Linked DNA regions of Mus musculus. The protein of the gene in region 2 interacts with the protein of the main gene of each other region in a biochemical or structural test. Links are inferred from orthologs where the notes say so. Each region holds a gene or a part of one and is shown on either strand. Other genes may lie near its edges.

What was found. The genes of interacting proteins can lie anywhere in the genome.
Region 1: of the proteins of Peli1 (region 2) and Irak4, one has a biochemical effect on the other in vitro, tested with the Homo sapiens proteins (4 studies listed by BioGRID and IntAct). The link is inferred for Mus musculus from reciprocal best matches to the Homo sapiens genes PELI1 and IRAK4.

Annotation. Positions count from the first base shown.
Region 1 is NC_000081.6:94,540,469-94,547,549, reverse strand, and holds the start of Irak4 (interleukin-1 receptor-associated kinase 4), read right to left. Parts: upstream 3,891-7,081; 5' UTR 3,724-3,890; intron 1-3,723. Other genes in the region: Pus7l (pseudouridylate synthase 7 homolog-like protein), read left to right, coding at 6,588-7,081.
Region 2 is NC_000077.6:21,088,875-21,095,697, forward strand, and holds the start of Peli1 (E3 ubiquitin-protein ligase pellino homolog 1), read left to right. Parts: upstream 1-2,449; 5' UTR 2,450-2,804; intron 2,805-6,823. UniProt on the Homo sapiens protein: E3 ubiquitin ligase catalyzing the covalent attachment of ubiquitin moieties onto substrate proteins. Involved in the TLR and IL-1 signaling pathways via interaction with the complex containing IRAK kinases and TRAF6.

The DNA of each region.
Region 1 (7,081 bases), on a different chromosome or scaffold from region 2:
CGACCATCTCATCACAGAGCAGCTTTCACTCCGACCCACCTCCTACTGAAAGGCATCTAAGCACCCTCCAGGATTCTCCTTTTCCTCCCCACAAACAGACATTGGAAAACTTTCATCCTGACACTGGGATATTTTTCCAAGTGAAATTTATAAAATGCAACGAGCCTGTTGGAAAGAGACCTGGGAGCGTGTTCAGGAGTCAAATCTATTAAATTAACAAGAGACCTACCTTTGAATTTATTTCTCTCGATCAGTACTCATTTACTATGAAAATGTTTTTAACGGTGTATTTATTTCATTTTATATGTATGAGTATTTTGTATGCATGTGTGTCCGTGCACTGTGTGCCTGTCTGGTGCCTGTAGAGGCAAAGGGGGGCCCCAGATCTTCTGGAGCTAGAGTTTATGATTTTGAGCCACTATGTGGGTGCTGGGAACTGAACCTGGATCCTCTGCTCACTACCAAGAGTGGTTAACCACCGAGGCGTCTCTGGAGCACCTACTAGTAAAGATTTTTACTCAGCAATCTTTGGTAAAAGTAAAAACAAACAAATAAATAAACAACAACAACAACAAAAAAACCCAAGCTAATTTATATAGCATTAAAAGACATGTCCTGCCCACCTACTTTTTATGAAGCATACGAGAAGAACTGGTTTGAGCCTGTGAGACCTGCATGATTTACTGTTAACTGTAAGGCAGTCAGTGGCCTCTCACTGTGGCTACCCCCTTGATAGTACCTTTATTCGCTCGATCCTCCTGGTTCCTGTTATTCCACTCTGGAGAGTTGCAGCTAAGAGTCACCTCCCCGTGCTCCTTGTACTGTGTACTGCCCAGACTGATGGGAACACGCCCTTCCACTGGGCCTCTGGGACCCACTTAACCTTTGACTTCTCTCTCCTGGTCTTAGGTGACCATTTCCCATGTTTATACCTCTCTCGGCACTTTCTCTGTCCCTTAGCCTCAGCAGACAATAATCTTTCCTTCCAACTGTTAATCAAGAGGACTAGACTCGTATTACTCTTTCAATGGTTTCTTTCTATACATTTTCATTTTCTAAAATACAATTAATCTTGGGTACGTGAGTCATATACCCAAATGGCACAGCATATAAAAGCTATAAGGCAGGAAAAAGAATGTTTGCATGCAGGCTTCTATGCTAGGACTCATGTCTCTCTGGCCTTCATTGACTGTCACACCTAAATAGGCTGACTTTCCCCAACCTAATAACCATTCACCACTATACAATGTATTTGTAGTCATGTGATTAGTTGCTTGTTTACCACCCTTCTCTGCCATTAGACTTTAAGCTCCGCAAGTTAAGGACCAAACTCATTTTATTCATTAATGTGACTTATACATTGTAGATACTGGTGTTGTATGGTATGGTTTGGATGTGAAACATCTCCCTAAAGCTCTTCTTTGGAAGGCTTTGTCACTATTATAGTAGTGTTGGGGGCGGAGACGGGGGAGAAGACGTCATGTTTGGATCATGAAGGCTTTCCTGTTATCTACCAATGTATTCATCCATGGATGGAGTCTTAACTTCATGGGGTATTGGGAATCAGTGGTAACTTTAGGAGGTGAGACCCACCTAGATGGAAAGGCTGATTAGGGGTATGCCTTGAAGGATGTGACCCTGTTCTCCCTCTCATCCCTTCTTCCTTCCCTCTTTCTCTCTACCCCTCTCTCCATAGCATGAGGTGAGCAGATTGGTCCCACTGTGTGCTCCCTGCCTCCTAATGCTCCCCTCAAGGCTGTACAGTTATCACCTCCTGACTTATGCTCTGGATCTCTTCTATCTGCTATGCTTTATTGTGGCTCCTGGGATAGATCATCCTTTGAGGCACCCTAAGGTCCCTTCTACATCGCTCATTTTGTCACCTTGAAGCAGTTGAATCAGTGAAACCCTAAGCACTGGAGAGCAGCCTAGATGACTTCGGGGGAAGACCATTGGGCCATCCATCAGCTTGGATGACCTCTGACCTCTGGGGGAGACCAATGGATCATCAGCTGGATGACCTCTGACCTCTTGGGGAGACCAATGGGCCATCCAGCCCAACCCTCTTTACCTTTCTAGACCTTGTTTCCAGGACTCAGAACTAAAGCAGCTGGGCTGACGCCATCTCTGTGTCCGTTAACCTCTCTGTCCCATCAGAGCTCAGAAAAACTTACACGTCAAAGCCGCTTAACACCTTTCGGGACCAGCTCAATTCCTTGGCTGCTACAGTGCTCTGAAAGACTAGACCTGACTGCTAGGGGTGACCTTTGTGCCCTCTCCTCTGTGAACAATGCTTGTGGATTGAGATGGGGCCCAAAGACACAGGGAACAGACCAAAAAAAAAAAAATGCAAAGTAAAACAAACAACAACAATAACAACAAAGTACAAAAAACAAAACAAAAAAAAAAAACAAAAAAACCCCACAAAAACAAAAAGCCCAGCAAGCTTCCTCCTATATAAGAATTTTTGGTTTCTTCCCACTCTGGCCCCTCCCCCTGGTCACTTCTTCCTTATACTTTTACGCAGTCTGAACTTCCCCCATACCCAAACAACCATGTTCTACACTAGCTGTCCCAATGCCTCTCACCCTACAGCAGCCCCGTTTGTTCCTGATGCATCTGCCAAAAGACCTTTGAGATGCCGAGAGATGTCCACAATTTCTAAACACTGACATACTTCAGTGGCCACTAAAACGCTTTGGGTATACTAAAATGTATAATGTCATCCATTCACCAAGACATGTCCTATCTGTGACAGATATTAATCCAGGTGCCTGAAAAATAAAACGTTAGGAAGAATAGGGAGAAAAGGGAGGCAAGAACACAGGGGAGTTTTATTCTAATGATGGAAGAAGGTAGCAAGCTGAGAATGCATTTGGCAGTCTGTTAAACGCTGCCTGCGGTGGTTTGAACAGGAGGGGATTCCATCGTCCCTCATTTGAGTACTTGGTTCCCAGTTGGTGACTTGTCTCAGTTAGGGTTTCCATTGCTGTGAAGAGACACCATGACCAAGGCAATTCTTATAAAGGACAGCATTCAATTGGGGCTGGCTTACAGGCTCAGCGGTTCAGTCCGTTGTTGTCTGCAGTGCAGTCAACAGAAGTCTGTGCTACTGTAGAGTGCGAATTCATCTCCTAAGTTGTTTTGTTTGTTTGTTTTTTGTTTGTTTCTGTTTGAACAGGGAACACAACAAAGACAAGACTGGGAGGCCCAAGTTTGGCCGGAGTGATCAGATCAGTCTTGAAACATGTAGGAAGCAAAAATGTTTAGCATGAAAATAGGAGAATTAAAAAAAAAAACCCTGAGCTCTTTGGCATACATCTTGAAGAATTACTCCCAGAAACGGAAAAATCGATTTTTTTTTTTTTTTAAATTTCCTGCTTTGGGGCCACTGTGTCCATTCCGAAAGCTAATGGTGCTTTCTTGCTCTCTTGGGAATGCTTTTCCTGCCCCTCTCTTGCTTCCAATCTGTCTTGCGCTTACCTCTCCCTCTACCTGTTGGACTGTCTGACTACAGCTAGCTTCCTATGCTCCCCATAGCGAGCAAGCGAGACACTCCGGCGGCAGAGCAGCGCACAGAGGCTGCGGGGCTCCCCAAGCCTCCTCTGCCCGAGTGCGCCCATTTCCTGGTTCTGGAGCGAAGCGACTGATCACCAACCCGGCCCGGGACAGAGGACAGCGGAGAGATCGTGGCTTGAGATCAGCCTTCCTCATACAACCTACTTCCTCTCGGACGTCCCTCGCTTCCTGGACAAGGCGATCGGCGTCCCGCCACGGTCCGGCGAGGACTCGGGGGTGGAGGACGCAGGACCACCAGGCGACTTCAGACTGCCTGCGATCGGGATGCTGCGGGTCACCGGGGCATCATATCCCCCTGTGGGACAGGGAGGGCAGGTCAGCTAAGGGTGAGAGTATAGGGGCGGAGCCAATCCGGAAGGCCACGCCTTTCCCTCCCCGAGCTCCACCCAGGGAAGAGCTACACCAACCGGAGCCTGTCCCTTTAAATGTCCCTGTAAGAGGCTAGGCGGCGGAAAGGCTTCTGGGCATGCGCACTGTGTCACTCGGCGGACCACTTTCTCACGGAAGCGAGGTAGAGCTCACAGAGTCTATTAGGATGCCGGGTCACCGGTGGATCCAAGACTGCTGGACCGGGGAGGGAGGCGTGGTGGCGGCGCCCAGGGAGCGGGGTGGGGTTGGGGTGGGAGTCCCTCTGCAGCCTCGGCTCGCCCCGCGGAGCGGAGGAGGAGCTCTTGCCACCCTCGCCCCCACGTGCCCTGTCTGCCCGCCTCTTGACTAGCTGCTTGACTGCCATGCCTTCGTGCTGCACTGTCCCCACGTGTAGCCTGGAAAGCCGTCCTATGGTCTTTCTTTTCCAACAATCCCTAGGGTTCCGAGGACCCCTGTGGACTTGGTCAGAGCTGACTGCTGATTTCCATCTGCCATTAGAAACAACTCCACGGGGGCAGATGCCAACCTTTGACAGGGTGTTCACTATCTTTCCTTGTCAGCATTACTTCAGCTGTATTCTCCCTATCCCCTCTGCTCTGTGTCAGGGCTTCCCCCTTCCCCCCCCCCCCCCCAGTGCCCGTCTTGATTGTACTTGCACGTGGTATTTCTACCCCGCTTCTGTCTCTTGAACTATTTCCAAAGTCAAGTAGCAGTTTATTATATACCATTCCTGATTATCATAGACAAAAGTTAACACTTCTTTCTTTCTTGTCACCATTAACGCTCTTACTGTGTTCTACTTGTATCTGTTCAACTAGTATCTACTGCAGACCTACTATGTCCTTGGTGCTGTTCTGAATATGGGCTAGTCAGAATTCTGGCTCATGTGGAACTGACACTTTAAGTTGAAGAAGATGGACAGTAAATAATGAACACATTAGCTAGTCATGCTATACAGGAAATTAAATCAGTTTTTTTCTTTGTGTGTGTGTGAAAGAAAAGAAAACAGGTTCCTAAAGCTTATAGATGAATCCTATAGATTAGATTATTGGTGGGTGAAAATGTCTGAGGATGTAGATGATCAATTACTTGTAAAGTCTGGGAAATACAAGAGCTAGGCAGTGAAGCTGCTCTCTCAGGGCTCCGTGTGTCGTGGAGAGAGTAGATTGTGTGAGGACTGTGATTCATTCCCTATAGAATTGGCCTTGGGCCGCTGCTCCAAGAAAACACCATGAGACTTTCTTTTCTTCTATGCCAGTGACTTGGTAGAAATTCCCTTTCATTAGCTTGAGATGTTTGTATCTTTCCTGTAGAGAATTTAGAACAAGATGAGGGACCAGGACTGACTTATCCGACCTTGAAGTGTACAGAGAAGTTCACGTAACTATTTATTATAGACTTTCCTTTCTTATCCTTCTTCGTGATCTAATTTCCAATGTATAAAAACACTACCACAGTCTCTGAAGTTTGCTCCAGGAGATTTTGAGGTTCTGAGGATGACAATCATTGTAACAACAGTCCTATTTTCTTCTCCCTTCTTTGTAGGTCTAATGATACTATTTTTCAGATAAACTTGAAATTGACCCATTTTATGTTTTTGTTTTTTTTTTAACTTTTGTTTGTTTGTTTTTCCAGGACAGGGTTTCTCTGTATAGCCCTGGCTTCTGGCTATCCCCTGGTCTGTAGACCAGGCTGCCCTTGAACTCTGCTTCCTGAGAGATGGAATTAAAGGTGTATATCACACCACCTGGCAAATATAAACATTTTGTCTGTTTTTGAGACGGTTTTTTTTGTTGTTGTTTTTTGTTTTTGTTTGTTTTGTTTTTTTCGAGACAGGGTTTCTTTGTGTAGCCCTGGCTGTCCTGGAACTCACTCTGTAGACCAGGCTGGCCTTGAACTCAGAAATCTGCCTGCCTCTGCCTCCTGAGTGCTGGGATTAAAGGCGTGCGCCACCACGCCCCGGCTTTTGAGACAGGTTTTTGACACAGGATTTCTCTGTGTAGCTGTGCATTTTGTTTCTTTTTGAGACAGTATTTCTATGTGTAGCCATGGCTGTCCTGGAACTTGCTTTGTAGACCAGGCTGGCCTCGAACTCACAAAGATCCACCTGCTTATGCTTCCCAAGGGCTGGCACTAAAAGTGTGCGCCTCCTGACAAGTTTAAACATTTTTAGTAGGCTTATTTATTTTATCATACGTGCTTTGTGTATATGTATCAATGAGCACCATGGGTGTGCCTGGGGGCTGGTGGGTGGTGGAGGTCAGAAAGGGACAATAGATGCCAGGACATGGAGTTAGGGATGCTTGTGAGCTGCCATGTGGGTGCTGGGGAACTGAACTTGTGGTCCTCTGCTAAGGCAACATTTCTCCAACCCCAAATTGACCCATCTTAATTCTGGATAATAGGAGCTTGGAGTGAATGGGAAATCAAGATACAAATTGCTACTTAGGTCACAAAATTGGCCTGTCAACTCTGCTTGCTGTAGGCAAGTCGAACCATAAAATAAGTTAGTGTCTTCTAGGGAGCATAGACTTGAGAGGGAGAGAACTGAGTGGATCTTGGAGACCGCTTTGATTCTTCTTATCTGCAAGCGTTTCTGGTAGCTGAGTGTGCGGTCTCTCTTGTAGGCACCGTGAAGGATGGCAGAGGACACAGATGGTGGCATCAGGTTTAACTCCTTGTGTTTCATCAACGATCACGTGGGCTTTCAGGGCAGCATAAAAACCTCACCCAGTGACTTCATTGTTATCGAGATCGATGAACAGGGACAGTTAGTCAGTAAGGCCACCGATGGATCTCTCTATGAAATTAGTAAAATACAATCTGAACCGAGCAATTCTGTCAAGAAGCCAAAGTTAAATATTCAGAATGTATCCTTAGAACATAAAAATAGTGAAGGAGCTGCTGACTTGCCCGGGTGCTCGGATGGTGACCGGAGCCATCAGTCTGACTCCGAGAAAGAAAACAGTGTCAACAGTGTGACTTCTAAATGTGAAGAAGAAAGTGTTGATTTATTACGTTCACTTTTAGATGAGAAAACTCACACATCGCTGGGTCAGTTTGCCTGTGACATCAAAAGGATGTGGAATTCACAAACTGAATTAACTGAGCCATCTCCTGAATTGTCCCTAGG
Region 2 (6,823 bases):
GTTCCCATGAAGATTCCTGATCAGAGCATCAGAACAACCCCTACATTTATATTTATAATAAGCCGTAAACAGCACAAGAACTGGGCAGCTATCTACCTTCTATGCTATTAGAATCTACTTTCTTATAGATAAATACAAATTATTACTTAATATTTACTATGTTTCATCTGGGATGCTCTTAACTCCCACTGGACAGCCCCCAGGGTTGCACTTTTATGGCTCACTTAACCCATGGTGGCTTCTCCTCCCTCCTCCTGCACTCCTCTCCTCCCTGTCTCCTAGGACTCCAAGCCTGAGAAGCCTAAACTCCACTTATGTCTCTTCTGCCCAGCTATTGGCTGTTGGCATCTTTATTTACTGATCAGAAATAACTTGGGGGTAGGGTCACAAGTCTATGTACAGACTCCAAGTCTTGGGGGCCCACATTTAGCATTACAATAGAGAGCAAGATCAAACCTCAACATTGTTGTTTTTGCCTTAAATTATCTTTAAAATGTTTTTGATGAAGGGGGATCTTACATATTTACAATTTTTGGCATTCAGGCTGTTAGGCTTAAGAGTGAGCACTCAACCCCACTGACCCATCTCATAAGTCCTGTGGTAGTTTTTATATGAATGCGCATTTACCCTGATCAGGGTCCATTAAGCTTCTCAAATATATCTTATCAAAAACTCATGTTTGAATACTGCTTCCAGAAGAAATAAAAAAAAGATGACATTCTTTAGCATATTACCCCCACCCTTCATGGGCTTAGCTGTCTCCTTCATTTTCTTGAAGTTTCCTCATGCCTCTCTCCCCAGTGTGCTTCTGCCACCGCCAGCAAATGTGCCATTAGCCTCTGTGTCCTCGAGCTCCCTGCTCCTTCACTGCTCTCTTCCACCTTTGCCAATAAAATACACAAACGTGGAAGCCGTGAGTCAGCCCACATTCAAATGATCTTTGAAGCACTTCCTGACCCTGCCTGAGTCTGAGGTAGTCTGAATTTTCCTATGACAGCATAGATCACACTGAGTCCATTTATCTGTCTCTTCCTTGGCAGAGAGAGGGGACAATGAATACAAAGTATGTCTCTTTTATATCTTTACAGCTCTATTTTTGAGGCCCAATAAAGTGCCTGGCACATAGTAAATACCTTTACTTGTTTTTTAGTATTTTATTTAAATATCTACATTAAATATTTTAAATACAGGTGTCTTGCCTGCATATATGTCTATGGGCCAATGAGGCCAGAAGATGGTGTTGGATTCCCTGAAGTTACAGGAGGCTGTGAGTGTCCACATTGGTGCTGGAAAAGAAGCCAGGTCCTTTGGAAGCGTGACCAGTGCTCTTAACTGCTGAGCCCTGCTGAGCCATTCTCTGTCTCCCGTGTACTTGTTTCTTAAATTACTTATTTCTTCATTGATCAAATAATTATGTGGTCTGTGGGCATCCAGGGTTTTTGATCCTAAGACTATTTGAAAATCCTTAGTTTCCCATCTTGAAATAGATGTCTGATTCCTTGGCATTAATGTTTTTTCTTCCAGGTTCTAGGTACTCTATTAAGGGAAACTGAGGCAAATTACCTGTAAACCTTCTGGAGAGCCAGTACTGTGTTTTCTCACACCACCATACATGCATACCTGGTCATTTAGAAAGGGTGTAAGACTTAGCTGAGCACAACATACCCATACCATGTTTCAAGGTGCCGTATGTTGTAATTTGATAGTGAGAAACTTGAATCGGCTAATACATACATTGAACAGTTCTGAACTCTCTCTACTTATCTTTTGAATATATATTTATGGAATCTGGATGTTTGAAGAACTATAGATTTTCAGATGAACAAATTGCAGTACAATGATCCAACAATGCTGTTAATGCTGAACTTGGGTTGGAATTAAATGTAACTAACCGAACAAAGAAATTACAGAATTCTGTTAATGGTCACGCTCCCTACAGTTTTATAACCTAATTGTTAAAACACTAAGAACAAGTAGATTTTTAGTACCTTGGGTAATTCTCTTGAAGGAGGCAAAGGAAGGGGGTATTTATGATTTGCAGAAGAAATCTAAACAACCAAGGAGACTGCCATGTCAAGAGGAAGTTAGATTTCACTGGGCACTTGGAAGTGGTTGGGGGTGGGGTGAAGCAGGAGGGACTGGCTGTGGGCAGGAACCCAATGGCACCAAAGACACAAGACCAGCCTTGTTTAGTCAACTACAGTCCAGAACCTTCAGGCTTAGTGAATGGGTGACTATGGCAACAGTCCCCGCCCCAACCCCCTTGCGCGTGCACAGCGCAGAGCCAGCAGTAGGCTCCTCCACAACAGATACTTTTTTTTTTCTCTCTCGGTAAAGAGAACTACAGTTCCCAAGAGCCCTCTCGGCACCGCCTCGCGATGTGGCCCTGCCCCTTACCCTTATGCCCCGCCCTCCCGCTAGTCCCGGTCCCTCCTTCCCAGTGTGTGTCAGTGACCCAAAGGCGGTTCGAGGCGGAGGGACCGTCGGGGGCGCCGCCGCCGCCTTCTCCAGCGCCAGCAACAGCAGCAGCAGCGGCAGCGACAACAGCAGCAGCGGCAGCAGCGGCCGTGCGGCGCCACCGGATCTGCCTGCAGCCCGGGGAGCTCACCACAAAGCGGGCCCGAGCCTCCCTCTCTAGTCCGCGCTCGGCTCTGCGTTCCACTCGGCCTCGCGGGGCTCGGCGGCTGGCGGGAAGGCGGCGGGCTCCGCTGGTGCCTGCGTTCAACCGGTGCTCGCGCCGCCCCCGCGCCCCGGGTGTCCGTGCGGCGGGCCGAGCTGGCGTTCCGGCCACCAGCAGTCGTCCGGTGAGTGCGGCGCGGGCGGCGAACGGGGGCGCGAGGGCCGGCGGCGCGGAACTTCCTCCGAGCCTTTGCCGGTGGCGGCGCGGCGGCCTGCGCGCCCGCCCGCCCGCGGGGAGGCGGCGGGGAGCAGAGTTTGCGGCGCCGCATCCCGCGCGGAGGGAGGAAGCGCCTTTGTGAGGAGCTGCCCGGAACGCCCTCCCCCACGGCTGGAGCGGGTGCGCGGCGGAGGGGAGCCCCAGCTCGGCGGCCCGGTTCTCGCTCCCGCGGCCAGGCTGCAGGCCGGCGAAGTGGAAGGGGAACAAAGGGGCGGTGGGCTTTTCTTTTGTTTGTGTGAATCTGATAACTTCTCAGCTTCCTTACGTAACACAGAATTCCAAGTTAGTCATTCTTTTTATTGTTATGATTATTGTCATCATCTCTGCGTGCCTCTACGTTTCCTTTCATCTTGGGAATCTCAGAGCATTTTAAAAACACTAATTAATTTCACCTCCCGGCCCTTGCCAAGCCCGTTTCCGTACGTGGGTAAACTGAGGTCCAGAAAGCCCTCAAATTGATGGATACGCTTGATGTACCGCGCTGGTGTCTGAGGCTCCGAAAGCGTTTATGAGTAATAACTCATTCTCCAAATGCCCTGTGGAAAAGTTAAAGATGCTCATTTTACTTACAGGTTAAATGAAGTCTGGAAGAAGTCTAGGTAATTGTTAGGTAGTTGAAACAATAATTCTTTTTAAATAGTATTTGAATCTTAAAACCTCAAAGGACTTTCTGAAAAATGTTCCGAGTGGTGAAGATACTGTAAGTCATCAACTCACTTCGCCATATATTATGTTTATATGTGCAGATCTCTTACAAAGTCAGACAACAATGATGAGGGAGGGGATAGTTTTTACTTAACCTACATTTAACATGTTTAGTCACTACTCACAATATGCTCGTTGGTTTTAGCCCCAGCACTCTTCCATCAACAAATATTGAGCATCTCATCCACAGGACGCTTTATTAAACCGAGAATTGAAGCTTTTGTGTATCAAAGGTTGTCTGTTTTGATTCAAAGGCTCTTTACTTTCGGGTAGTAGAGTGTTACTTTGTCTTCGTAGCAGGTGATCTTTTGTGTCAGATAGCACAATGTCTTTTCTCCACATTAACCGAGTTTGCCTAGTCGTGTGAATTTAAAGTTTTTGAATTGTGAACAGGGTGCAGTTCCTCAATTTCTTGTTTCGGTTTATGATGCATTTTCACAGGTAACAACATATTTCCCCAGAGTATTCAAATACACATACTTGAAACATTCTCCTTATTGTCTAAATATAGCATATAATTTCTTTGGGTTTCTTTCTTTCTTTTTTTTTTTTTTTTCACAGTTAACATCTGTAGTAAATACTCTGAGGGCAATTAATCTTTTAAACACTTTTGGTATCAAATGGAAGGTGTGAAAACTTTAAATCAAGTGTTATTTCTACAAGTTCTTTTCCTAAGTTGTATGAGATTTAGAACTGTAATAGCATTATTTTCATTTACACACTTAATTTAATTTTGTAATGCCCCCAGATTTTAAATCTAGTAGGTGTGTCAGAAAACGAAAGTGAGACTTTAGATATTTTTTCTTCTGTTCCCCAACCTATCCCCTTTCTGAAGTTTGTTAAGAGATCTGTTGAGCAATTTGAAAATGGAACACTTAAATGTATAGAAGATTGCTTATATGGTTATAGTGTTTCATCTGATAAATTTAAGGAATCTTAACCACCTAGGTTTTTAGTGTAAACTGGAAACCACCTTAGTTGGAGACTTGGCGGTTATTTGTGTGTTCCTTAAAATTAGCATTTAAGTAACCTTGTATTGACCTTTTCTGATAGTACTTACCAGCCAGCTCTACCAGGACCATTTGTACTTTTAAGGAACCCACTAACAACAGTGCTTTTGTCCTGTCCGATTCCAAGAGTCCAGAGGCAGAAGTTAGTGAAGTCTGGGTTTGCTGCCTTCCTGAGTTCTTTAGGATGCTTTAAAACAAATGGCTGAACATTACAGGGCAGGAAACAGAGCTATTGAGGCAGTTTTCAGAGGGAAGCCTCAGAGGGTTCCTATTTGCCTTAGTTTCTGCTTCTGTTTTACTTGTCAAAATGTCAGTTAAGTCCCTTGATTTAGAATGTGCTCCACTGTGGTTGCCCAGTAGATAGGTGTAAAGGGCTATAGAATTCTGCTTTGTGAACAGTTTTTCTGTTCACAGAGAAATGTAAAGCAGATTGAAAAACCCATTGATAGGCTCAAAAGTAATAGATAAGGCAACTGACAAAGACTTTAGGAAGTATAATATTAAATATTCCTGGAAACATTTATAAATAAGGAACAAAATTCTAGTTGAAGTCCCAGACAATAAATTACACATAGCACGGTCTTTCAATTTATAGATTTGTAGCCGTCTTTCTCAGAGCCCTTCTTCATATGTCATAGAAAAGTCTATATAAGATACTCTTTCAAATGACTCGGGCTGTTCTAGAGTTTCTTACTACACTCTAGAGTTTCTTTTTACACGTCATTGTTAGAGTCTCACCTCTGCTAGGGAAAGCTCACCTAGGCCTACACTAATTTGTAGGATCTTAAAACAAGAAATACAGGTCACTCAGAGATCTGGATATGATTTCAAGTTATCTATTAGTGTTTTCTATGCTGTTTTAATAGATACGTGCTTGGAAATACTGGCTAACATGCTATACTTAGTAAATTCTAAGTCATCTTTGTTCTTGTGCAAGGAATGTGTGCTAAGGAGAAGCATGAGATCTCCTGGGGGGAGTTTACAGGTTTGGTTTGGTTTGGTTTGAGAGGTTGTTTTTGTTTTCAGATCAGATTTTGCCTTGTAGTATTTCCCACCCTAGCCTTGAAATGAAGGTCCTCCTCCCTAGCCTCCCCAGCAGTGCTCCATGCCTGGAAGATTGGAATCTTTTGATGCAGTAGGTAGCCACTTTCAGAAATAATTTAGAGAAAAGGGGCTCCATTGACTGACTGAGGAGAAATGAATTGCACGTGATTCTCAAAACATTTTTCTCCCAAGAATGTTACATGGGATATTTTAGATGATGGAGATCATCAAAGATGATGATGGTGATGATGGTGGTGGTGGTGGTGGTGGTGATTTTGTCACAGTAAATGTCACTTCAGACAGAGTTTTGCGTTTTACTTATTTTCGTGTGTGAGCAAGATACATGTTTGTTACCCACCTACAGAAGCTTTTTCTTACAGATAGATTCCAGAGAACAGTTGTGGGAGTTGGTTCTCCTCTTCCACTGTGTGGGTCTAGGGATTGAATTCAGGTCATCAGGCTTGGCCGAGGCTCGTGTACCTTTACTCTTGTATCTTGTAATATTACACTTCAAAATACCATTTACAGAAGAATAGAATGTTACTAATGCTTAAATGTGAAAGTTCTAATTCAGCACACGTGCTATTTAGTTCCCTTTCAAAGCATTTGTTCTTGCTTTTAGTTTATAATGAACCTCTTGCGATGGGAGTAACTGTAAAAATATGTAGTTTTCCATGATTTTCTACTTTTTTTTTTGCCACAATTTGCTCTATCCCACCCAGCTTTCTAGAATAAGCAAAGAAATATTTAAAGACACTTAAACACTCTTACTTATTATACTAAATGTCAGCTGAATTTCAACATACAAAGTATGGTCAACTCTGTTTTGGAAATAGAAGTATACTTCTGAGGGCATTAAAGCAAGAAATATCAAATAAATACCATGATATGTTCTAAATTCTGATTGCTTAGTAGTGGCTACTGTTACCCTGAGTTTAGAAAACTGGGGTTCTAGGTTTCATTTACTGCTATTAGAATTAGATACCAAAACCAAACTATTTCTTCAGTAAATATTGGGTTTAGGGAAGGGTCTAGTTGTTGACATATCACACTAAGTGCTCACAGTTACCTCACATTCCAATCACAAGAGTCAAACAAGAAAATGAATGAGCACACTGAGTAGTTGCTAGCATCTTTGAGGCCCAGGTTCAAACCCCAGCACCACCAC